3 linked regions of the Drosophila melanogaster genome follow. The protein of the gene in region 3 interacts with the protein of the main gene of each other region in a pairwise test. Each region holds a gene or a part of one and is shown on either strand. Other genes may lie near its edges.

Region 1 (3,701 bases), 310 kb from region 3:
GGGGGCGTGGTAGGGCTGGGGGTACTTTCGTACTCTGGTGGCACTAATTGAAAAGCAGCAGCCACTAACAGCAGCCGTCGCTAAAGGGCTGCCAAGGGATTGGTTTTAGAGAGCATTGCTACAGTAGAAATGTAATAACTTTGATTAATCCGAAAGCAAAGCAATAGTTGGTATTTCTCATCTGAAAGTAAAGGAACTAGTTAGCATCTGTTTTCATTTAAACCATGAACCATGGGAACCATGAAGATGATATACTTGGTATCGCTGAGTTATTACTTACTTTTGTGCTCAGGAATGTATATATTGCATAGATTAAAGTTATTAGGAGGGTTATATTACTATTTATGAATTATGGTGTAGAAATCTATAATTTTAGTTCCCAGTCATCCTGCGATTGTCCACTGTACGAAGAAAGCCAATGCGCACAACGCTTTTTACTTCGTGCTTTTTTTCTGGCAATTTCCTTTGCATACTTTTGTGCTGCTTTTGATTACAAAATGGCGGCTATCCGGGATGTTGGGTGCTCCTGCAGGACCTGCTGGCTCCAGTTGCAGTCGTAATGCAGCCTAAACATTGCGTTTAGTTCTCGTTTTGCTGCATCTACAACTGCTGCAATCGCCTGGACTTTGACTATTCATTAGCGTGTGTGCTGGTGTGGGGGGTGTGCATCTGTATCTGTGCGACGGGGATGAGGGCCAAAAAACTCTAACAAGCTCAAAAAGCAATTTGCGAGAGGCCGGCTAAAAAATTGGCAAAAATATCGACGTGCCGGCTCATGCAATTGACGTTTTGCGGGCGTGTGGGAGAGGGATTTTCGCGGACTAGGGATTGGGGTCTGTTACATAAAACCACGCGTTGCACAAAAGCCGCCAAATCGTCGTCGCTGAAAAGCCCCAGCGATGAAAATACAAAATGGCCGATCCACATGCAATTCCGCACTGTTCCAGCCAACTATTTCTATTTAACAAAACGCCACTTAAACGCCAAAACGGTACTTAAAGTAGCTGTGCATAGTATATTAAATAAGCTTCATATTAGTTTACTACCAATTAAAATGAATCTGCACTCTATGGTCTAGAGCGAACTCACAGAGAATATACTTTTCGGAACAGCTATGCAAATGGTTTGCTAGCCCTCAGAAGTAAATTCGGTTTGTGGTCAGAAATTAGTACACAGCACTTTTTTTTCGGCACGTAGCCCCTGCACACACGACTGGGCCAATTAAATCCATTTACATCACAAAAATCGAGTATGTGAAACCATTTTATTTCTAGGTTCAAAATCGAAATTAAAAGGTATTAGCCTTACCAAGTTTTCACATTGCATATTCAACAATACCAACTAGGGTTGGATTTATAGAATCCATGCCTATTTACTAAAATGCCATTGAAAAAGTATATTCGAATCAGTTTTCAATTGTCTGAAAAGTAGGCGCTTTTAATGAAATCAGAAACCCTAGTTTATCTTTTTGGCTTCGATTAAATTTGAAATATCAGTCAACGTATTTTTAAGCCCCGAACCTGCAGCCATGATGTCCTTTGGTCGAGTTCTCGGGGGCCTATCCGTTTTACATTTTTCCCGGAACAGAAGTTTGCATCAAAGGAGGACGAGGCGACCATTTCCTGTAGTTCCCGACGCGAGGATTAAGACCCCGGCGCAATCAACCCGACCACCCCGCATCCTGGTGAAGAGCTTCTTGGCCCTCCATCATCTGGATTCTGTGTACATGCAGGGTGCTCCTCGTGATCTTAGAGACTATTTTATGTCAAGCTGGAAAAACGAGAGAAAATGATATCCCCCCTTGACTTTACCATTCGTAACCATGGGAATCGCCCTTGCGGTCAATATTAAAAATTTAAAGTTTTTGGAAAAAATACTGTTCTAAAAATATATTACGTTATTCGACTTGTTGGAAGATTCATTTTTTAGCAAGAAAGTGACTTGCCGCTGAACTATATACGGAATTTTAATTTAGTGAGGAAAAACGTCCATATCAATTCATTTCAAGAATTGCAAAGCCAATACATAAAAGTAGGCCCGATAGATACATTCATATAATATGAAACCTTTTTTTATATAACTTAAATTTTACTTACATTGGTTAACCTAAATTTTAGTATTTCTTTGACCAACGGTACGGCATCCACCTATGGCATAATGTTCACCGGTCGGCTTCTCATCGGGTCCCCGATATTCGAGGCTAAGATGCGGCTACAGCAGAGGCGACGAATGTCAGAGCACAGGCTTCCGTACCATCGCAGACCTGCGCCCGTAAAGCTCCAGGACCGTAAGAGTTCATGGACCGATCTAAAAAGGCCGCCCTTCCTGCTGGTCAAGAGCTTCCTCAACTTGCGCCACATGGACGCCGACTACGGGAAGGACATGACACGAGTTACGGACGAGCTAAGTTTCCAGCCCCACCGCACCCTCTTAATCAATACCGTGCGAGGGCCGCATCGTCAGTTTTCGGACACGGAACCAATTGCGGACATGATGGATAAAAGTCCGGTAGCTTTGGACTCGGATTCGAAGCCGTGAGTGTGGGTAATAGCGTTTAAATGGAAGATAATGTATTTTAATATAAATGTTTATTTTTAATTTTATCAAATAATACTTTGATATATATGAGGGGTATACGGTTCTCCAATAAATAAGGGGGGGGGGGGGGTGACACATTTGGCCTTGGCCTTATTTCAATTTAAAGGTACCATCTAAAATCTGGCCAATACTCATACATAGTCCTACTAAGTTCAAACGAAGTGCACAATAAACTTAAGAGGTAACGGATTTATTCTGTGCTGAATTATATTGCAATTTGAGCGGACGACCGAGTTGGATCCGTTTATCTGGCCTCAAAATTCTTACTATTGTACAGTTTGCATGTGGGTTTGGGATACTTCGTTATGGATAGACTGGGGGGGGGACTATACTCGTACAAGACATGTCCGGATGGAAATTGATTGCAGAGAGCTTCAAGAGAAACCGTCTAGATATCGTAGGTGCCATAAACCATTCGTCGCCGGAAGTCTGCCCAGCGGTATCGCGGATTGCGGAAGCGGGTCGTCTGCACCTCTCCGTGATCCTGCGCCTGCTCCTGGTACTTATGAAAGTTCTTAACAAAGCATCGCGGAGCATGATGGTACTCTGGATTGGGTTCATCCCGCTGGTGGCACAGGACTTCGTCGATCTTCTTCAGATCCCCAACGCACTGGTTTCGGCGCGTCGAGTAGGCGAATCTTCCAGTCATCCGGGACGTGGCTTGCTGGACCGCCAGTCGGACATAGGCGGATAGGGCCGATTGGTTTCCATTGGCTGGCAGCATTTGGAAAGGGGATGAAACTAGTCGGATTTGCCTGTAATTTCGTGGTCCGGATACCTTAGGTATTGGTTAGCCTTCAGCTGGATGCAGTTGTACTGTGGTGTAGCGTTTATTTGGCTTAAAGGATTGGCCGAAAGGAGGGAGTATGTAAATTTAAGACTTGTCTATTGTATTAGTTTGCCTGTTAAATGGGAGGAACGTAGAAAAAGTAAAACGGGGCTATGTGTTACTAAAAGCTGACTAGTTAAAAAGAAAAGCTGACTGGGTTAAAAAGAAACCTCCTCTTAAAGCCTCTTCTAGAACATATTCAGTTAATTGTTCGATAAGCAGCTAAGTGTACCTATCACACATTTCATTTTCTTTTGGCTAACCTAAAAAATGA
Region 2 (3,777 bases), on a different chromosome or scaffold from region 3:
GCCATGGGTGTAAAAATTAATGCTCAGCTCCAGCCGCAATTTACCTACGTTCAGTCGGTCACAACGTAAGTATTATAACCTATATTAACTATCGGCGGACTTTATTCCATATGAGCACATCTTTTTAGTGCCTCTGCAATGTTAGCCGAACGCTTCATGAATCCCTTGCAGCGCTTGGATTTCACCATGAAGCTCTTCTATCCCAAATTGCTAGACAAGCTGAATGATGCCGTGAAGAACATGCACGACTTTACCAACTCGGTAATCACTGAGCGACGCGAGCTCCTACAAAAAGCCATTGCCGATGGAGGAGATGCCGACGCTGCCCTCTTGAACGATGTGGGCCAGAAGCGTCGTATGGCTCTTCTTGATGTGCTGCTGAAGTCCACCATCGATGGGGCTCCGTTGAGCAACGACGACATCCGCGAGGAGGTAGACACCTTCATGTTCGAGGGTCATGACACTACGACCAGTAGCATTGCTTTTACCTGTTATTTGCTGGCTCGACATCCTGAGGTTCAGGCTCGCGTCTTCCAGGAGGTCAGAGATGTTATCGGTGATGACAAGTCGGCTCCAGTTACTATGAAGCTACTCGGCGAGCTCAAGTACTTAGAGTGCGTGATAAAGGAGTCTCTGCGCCTGTTTCCCTCGGTGCCGATCATTGGACGCTACATTTCCCAGGACACCGTACTCGACGGCAAATTGATACCCGCCGACTCGAATGTGATCATTCTTATTTACCATGCTCAGCGCGATCCAGACTACTTCCCTGATCCGGAGAAGTTCATCCCTGATCGTTTCAGCATGGAGCGCAAGGGCGAGATCAGTCCATTCGCCTATACTCCCTTCTCAGCGGGTCCGAGAAACTGCATCGGCCAAAAGTTCGCAATGCTCGAGATGAAGAGCACCATCAGCAAAATGGTGAGACACTTTGAGTTGCTGCCTCTGGGCGAAGAAGTCCAGCCCGTACTGAACGTTATCCTGCGCTCGACCACCGGAATCAATTGTGGCCTCAAGCCGCGCGTCTATTAGGTGTTCCTGGATTGTGATTTTTTTTTTTTAACTAGTTGTAAGTGATGGGCTCTGTAAATATTTGAATAAAATACTTGTACATAATGATATCCAGTGATGGATGGTGTTTTTTCCGGCGAGTGTGATTTGGAAATAATGTGGACTGGTAAGGGGTTCTCACTTGGCCCCCCATAACTGGACATACCAATGCCCGCATTCCTGCTTCAATTTGATTCTATATTAGCTTTAACCGGCTCGTACTACAACTCAAAAAAAAATGGATGGTGATTTTTCCCGGAAGTGGGGTTTCGAAACATTGTGGGCTGGTAAGGGGCCTTTCACTTGGCCCTTCATCACTGAACATACCAATGCACGCATTTCTGCTTCAATTTGATTCTATATTAGCTTTAACCGGCTCGTACTACAACTCAAAAAAAGGCGATTCCCGCGGTGATGCGGCCCATTAATCCCAGGCATAGACCTTGCCGGGAGTGGGCAGCTTGGAAGACGGGGCCTTCGCCGCTTCCCCCTCTGCCGCCAGCTGCTTCTGCTGCTCCACCAGGTCGATGGGCGGCAGAACCTCGCGACGTCCATCCCGCTGGCAGTAGTAGTTGGCCGAGAGTAGATGCGATGGACCGTCAGGGATTTCCGGCTGTGGCTGGGTGCGATCGGCCAGTCCGTCCTCGAAGCGCAGGGCCAGGTTGTGCTCCCGCTGTAATTGGCGTCCAGATTAATCAGAGATTCACATTTTCCGTCTTATATAACTGAGAACCGAGTTCTCTGCGGTCGCTGTCCAAATGTCGGATACTCACACCCAGGAGGAAGGCCCGAATGCGCTGGATTAAAGGCGACACATCACGGCGCAGGGCAGACATTTTCCGTTTGTATTATTCTTCAAATTGAGAAACCACTGAATATTTTGGTTTTATATTTATTTGTGAGGTCCAGCCCTGTCGTCCAATCGATATCAGCTGCTTGAAATTACGAAGTATCGTTAATCGATACCCACGCCTCGTCCTCTTAACTTTGCTTTGCTGCCCTGCAATTGATATACTTATCGATAACTATCGCGAAGAAAAGTTGATATAGTAACGGCCGAATTTTTAATTAAAGATTAAAAGCAGAGAACAACTACGAGAAAGAGCACATAAAACTGCCTAGGCAATGAGTCATTTAGTTAGTTATGAAACCAGCACTTCCAATCGTTTTGAAACTAGAAAAACAGGACTTGGTTATATTGTGTCTATGTACGTGTATTTATTTTATTAGTATTTTATTGCCTTGCACGTTCCCAACTTTTGTGAGTGGGAAACCGTAGTTCATTTCCATAGAGTAATGGTTAACAAATTGAGGAAACTGGCTCCTTTGGTCGTCCATTAATAATATACAAGTAATAATAATAAATAAAAAGTTACTCTCGATTCTGTCTTCAGTGTTGTGTTGCTCTAATTGTAAATTAAACTAAGTACGCCGTAAACTAAACTACTGCAATTTAAAGCTGCCGCTTTAGTAGTTGCGAGAGTTCCTTTTAAACGATTTAAGGGGATGTTCCTTCCTTCCTTCCCAGCTAACAAGCTCCCTGTTCCGCCTTAAGCGGGCGTCGACTCTGGTTGGGATTGGGACTGGTCTGGCGAGGACTCGCTGGCCGTTCCGGGACTGGGCGCCAGCTGCTCCACGCTGACGGTGCGTACAAACTCGGCGGTGGCTTCAATCACAATTGTGGGTAAGTCATCAGCAGGTCCTGCCGGTGCAACTGCAGCGGGTGCTTCCTCCGCCTGCGGTTCGCTGGTGGTTGGTGTGGTTTCTTCTGTGGATGGTGCTTCTGTGACTATCACAGCCACGGGCGCCTGTTCGGTCACCTCTGGCTTGGCTGGCTCGATCTCAACGGTACTCGAAGCAGGAGCTGTTGCCGGTGTGGGCTCTGTAGACGGAGCTGGAACTGCTGCCATAGTGGACTCTGCCACAGGAGCAGGTTCTGCAGAAGTTGTGGGCCCAGCCACAGGCGTGACTTCTGCAGCAGGCGCAGGAACAGGTACAGGAGCCTTGGGTGCCGGCGACGCTGACTTCGACTTGGCGGACTTGCCCACAGCCGGCGAGGGAGTCCTCGACTTCAGTTTTTGTTCGTGAGCACTGCGATCCATCAGCACCGAGGTGGACTGCGGAGGCGCTGGACTAGCCGCCCTCTTGATGTCTTCAATCTTGGCCTCCATCTCACTGCGTATTTCCTTGATGGGCTTCAGCAGAAAGACGGGAACGTCATCGTCCCTCCGCTGGTACAACATCTCGCCCTCGAAGTCTACCAACTTGTGTTTGCGGGCCCGCAGCAGGATGCCCACCACCTTGTCGGATATGTAGTTATAGATCTGTAGAGTGGAAGTGACCAGTTTAGAGGGCTTTTCGAAAAATATACCAGCTGTAAACAGGACACTCACATTAAAAAGTTCGCCGAAGGGGATCACACGCATAGTGGGCTCGTCCTTGACGTCGTAGCCCTCCGAATTGATGATCTGGCAGAGCTCCAGCATCTCCTTCATCACGTGGATGTTGGCCTTCTGGCCACGCATCTCTGTAAGGCTGCCGGCCAGTGGTTTTCCATACTGATCCTTCGAGAAAGTGGGTTTCGGCGAGGCGGCGCGTCCGTCCTGGGAAAATGGATTCAGCAGCTGCGACTGCTTGTGCTGCGTGGCCTGGTTGTTGAACATGGCCACCTTGGAGGACAGTGGTGAGTCCTGCAAGTAACGAAGAACACAAATGGCTTAAATCGGC
Region 3 (3,863 bases):
ATCCAGGTCGACCATCCGAAGAAAGTTAAACTCCTCAGCTTTCGACTCAAAGTAGTCGAACATTTTTGGATGCGTCAGAGAGGATACCGCCGTCGCTGTGTTCCATCCGAGCACTCCAGCGGACTTGACTGCAGATTTTCCCACTCCTGGATTCATAACGATGCTCTGCAGACTTCGCAGCTGGGCGGAACCTCCGCGCACGCGCATGCTGTTTTCCAAGAAGAGAACCGATCGGGCACGCATAAGACCGTCCTTAATTACAATGGGCCGGTAGGCGTGCGTCCGCTGATCGGCGACGAAGGAGGGAAACTCCGACAGATCATAGGTGATCACCGAGCATCGGCTGTTATTACAGTAGGCGCCCAAATCCCGTAGTTGCTCCTCGGAAACGCCCAAATCGTAGATTAGCAGGTACTCGCTGGGAAGCTTGGCGGCAATATTCTGGGCCAGCAGGATGGCCGATGCGGCCTGCCCCTCCAGCACATAGCTGACGATTGTGAAGTTGCTCTTTGTACCGTTGTACGGCGTCGTGATCCGCTTCCGCTGCCCCTTTTGATCTCCTGCCTGACTACCGAAGGTAACAGCATCCTGTGGACGCCGCAGACCTCGCAGTTCGCTGAGCTCCAGTTCCGCTTTTGTAGCCGGCGCTGAAAAATCTGTCTTTGGCAGTTGCTGACCTGGTGAACCGATGTCCACCACATTTTGCTGATCCAGCTGCTGCTGTTGGCCTGTAGCTTCATTTGACGAGGTGAAGCCCAGAAGAAGCAAATACTTTGGGTCTATTTCGAGCTTTTTGCGTTCCAAGCCAACGCGGAGGTTTTCCTGCAAGAAAAAAAATTAAATTTGCAATAAATGAATATTTTTGGTTTATCCAAGAAATAAACAAGAGATTTATTATTTAAGTTTTGACATACGGTTCCCGAACCCCACTCTTAGAAAATTATTTATGTCGGGCCAGGCGGCGTTAATGGTCAAAAAATATGGCCAGAATTTGCCTCGTCATAGGAACAATTCCGAAACACACATGTGAGATATGTTTCCATTATGGCCCTCTAGCACACTTCCTCTGTTTCGCCGAAACTAGCCCAAACAAATACCCAAACACAACCAAAAATCAAATGAGCCGCACAATGGAACCCTCTCGTGCCGATGTCAAATTCTTGTCTATTATTTGCTTAGACTGTGGCCAGAGTAAAGCGTGCCGCATTCTCTGCCCACCCCCCCGGGCACTACCACTCCTCCGGCAGCCAAAAACCGGTGTCAGGTGTGTCCCACTGCGGTCAGGTGAAAGGGCCGAGGGGGAGAAGCACTGGAATTAACCTGCGGCAAAAAGGCAGCCGCCAAAGTTGCAGGCTAGGCGCCAAACCCAAATCGCATGACAACCTTTCTGTGCCGATAGCAACCACTACACTTGTATGGCAGTACACTCAAAACACTCTTGTTAAGTATGAATAGTATGGTATGCTGATTCATAGATAGATTATTTAATGTATAGCAAAACTTACGAATAAGTTTAAGCAATCAAGAACAAAATCTTACATTTACATTTTTATACCAGTTACTCGTGAAGCTAAAGGAGTTATTCATCCAGATCACTAGTCGATCTGGATAAGCCCGTCTGTCCTTCCGTCTGCCTGTCCGTCCGTATGAACGTCGAGATCTCGGGAACTATAAAAGTTCACTAATGTTGTTTTCATTCTACACAAATATTTTGGCGTTGCAAACTTCTGTTGAGTTCTTGTATTTCGAATAGCGAAAAGATGAGCCTTTTTTTTCTTGAGTGTGCGTTGGAACAATGACGGTGATTGTACACATTCTTACTCCTTAACTTTCCTCGAACGGCACTCTCCTTCTGTTTTGTTAACGAACAACGAAAGATACTAGCTGACGTCCGTTGCTGGGTCGCAATTGAAACCGATCAGCTGCAAGGCCTCCTCGCCCAAGGACATTCGAATCAATCAACTCTGTCCGTGCGGCACTGCGCTTATATAACGAGCATATTGATTTTGTGCCATTCGGTGTTGTGCACTGTGCAGCGCAGTGAAGCCACCGGGGGATGTTCATTTTACCATTTTTCACATTTCACTGAGTTCAATGTCAGGACCTTGTTTCATCCAAACATCAGTTGACACCTACATATAAACAGAGCAATATACAACTCTTCCGAGAAACTATAATATACCAGTTAAGATGGAGGATATTTCGCATGAGGAGCGAGTCCTGATCCTTGACACTTTCCGTATTTTGGACAAGGACAACGAGGGCGCCATAACATCTAAAGAGATGGCGGTGGTGATTCGCGCCCTGGGTCGCCAGCCCAACGACGCCGAGGTTCAGTCCATGATCAATGAGGTGGATTCGGAGGGAAACGGATCCATCGTGGCTCCGGAGTTCTGCAATGTGATTCTGCGCAAGATGCGCGACACCAACCATGAGGACGAGCTGCGCGAAGCTTTCCGAATTTTCGACAAGGATAACAATGGCTACATTACCACCACCGAGCTAAAAAATGTGTTCACCGCGCTGGGCGTAAAGCTCAGCGACGACGAGTTGGAAGAAATGATACGCGAGTACGACTTGGATCAGGACAATCACTTGAATTACGAGGAGTTCGTCAACATGATGACAATGCGATAGCCTCCATGTGAGTACTCGTATAGAAGGCTGGCTTGATTTCTATCCAACAAAAAGTCGGCGTTCTGTCTGTGTTCAGTTTAAATTCTTTATGTTCACACTGACAAAAGCACATGAAACATTAGTCCACTACAAAAAAAAAAAAAAAAAAGAAAATCACTTTGGAAACAATGAGCGGCAGTTTGACCGAGGCCCAGATTGAAGAAATTCGAGAAGCATTCAGTTTGTATGACAAGGAACGGTCCGGATGGGTTTCCGTCCAACAGCTCGGCGGAGTAATGCGGGCCCTTGGAGAGAGTCTCACCGAGGCGGAGATCTACGACCTGGCCAACGAAAGTAACGCCGACTTCGGTGGGCAGGTGCAGTTCAAGGACTTTCTATACGTGATGAGCAAACGGCTGGAGGAGCAGAACAGTCTGGTGTGCCTAAAGCAGGCCTTCAAAATCTTCGATCGCAGCGAAGTGAACAGCTTTACAATTAACGAGATCAGAATGGTGATGACCAACCTGGGCGAGAAGATGTCCGAAGAGGACTTGCGCGAGTTGTTCCAGGACATTGATCAGGACAAAGATGGAAAGATCTCCTTCAACGAATTTGTTACCGCCATGCGAAGCTAGGAATTCCAAATTGAAGGCACAAATTAACCACGAACCCCTTTCGAAAGAGCCCAACCCAGTCGCGTTTTCCCTACGCCTAGGCGGCACCACTTGAAATTCCCAACCAAATTCCTTTGGCTTACTCAACGCAGCGCCAGAAAGTCGGCTGTTAAACCTTGTCCGAAGAAGTCCACTTGTGTGTGTCCATGTGGCACGGCGCGTGACTCCGAAACGGTCGCATGTGCCTAATGGCCGCTGGGGAGTGCCAGGATATTCGAAAGGGTGATGGCGATGGGCCAGAGCAATCATAAAATCGAGCCACGCTGATTACGATGCCAATTTAAATATTTGACCATGTGCTGGACTGGACTGGACTCGCTGGTTTCCTTTTTGTCTGACCAAGTTTACAAGTGGCATGATTTTGGGTTCAAGTCTTATCGCACCTTGCTCTTTTTAAATTACCTTGTTATCTATTGGCACCCTTAATACGCATACAACATACATTGTCCATGACTCATTCGGCAATTATAAAAGCCCACCTTGGCAATAAAATATTGTCAAGTGACTAGTGACTAATAATTTGTAAGGGGGAAAGGTTTATAAATTTGAATGCGCCTTCGTGCATGGATTTCA

The links. The genes of interacting proteins can lie anywhere in the genome.
Region 1: the proteins of azot (region 3) and CG14759 interact in a two-hybrid assay, tested with the Drosophila melanogaster proteins (one large-scale study listed by BioGRID).
Region 2: the proteins of azot (region 3) and ND-B14.5A interact in a two-hybrid assay, tested with the Drosophila melanogaster proteins (one large-scale study listed by BioGRID).

The regions. Positions count from the first base shown.
Region 1 is NT_033778.4:8,257,879-8,261,579, forward strand, and holds CG14759 (uncharacterized protein), read left to right. Parts: upstream 1-1,962; 5' UTR 1,963-2,157; coding exon 2,158-2,538; 3' UTR 2,539-2,605; downstream 2,606-3,701. Other genes in the region: CG30369 (uncharacterized protein), read left to right, coding at 1,529-1,792; CG2291 (uncharacterized protein), read right to left, coding at 2,987-3,322.
Region 2 is NC_004354.4:2,170,752-2,174,528, reverse strand, and holds ND-B14.5A (NADH dehydrogenase (ubiquinone) B14.5 A subunit), read right to left. Parts: upstream 2,004-3,777; 5' UTR 1,887-2,003; coding exon 1,824-1,886; intron 1,724-1,823; coding exon 1,475-1,723; 3' UTR 1,097-1,474; downstream 1-1,096. Other genes in the region: Cyp4d14 (cytochrome P450 4d14), read left to right, coding at 1-65, 129-1,032; CG3630 (uncharacterized protein), read right to left, coding at 2,601-3,374, 3,444-3,740.
Region 3 is NT_033778.4:7,947,699-7,951,561, forward strand, and holds azot (ahuizotl), read left to right. Parts: upstream 1-2,140; 5' UTR 2,141-2,190; coding exon 2,191-2,637; 3' UTR 2,638-2,767; downstream 2,768-3,863. Other genes in the region: CG14764 (uncharacterized protein), read right to left, coding at 1-822; CG30378 (uncharacterized protein), read left to right, coding at 2,805-3,251.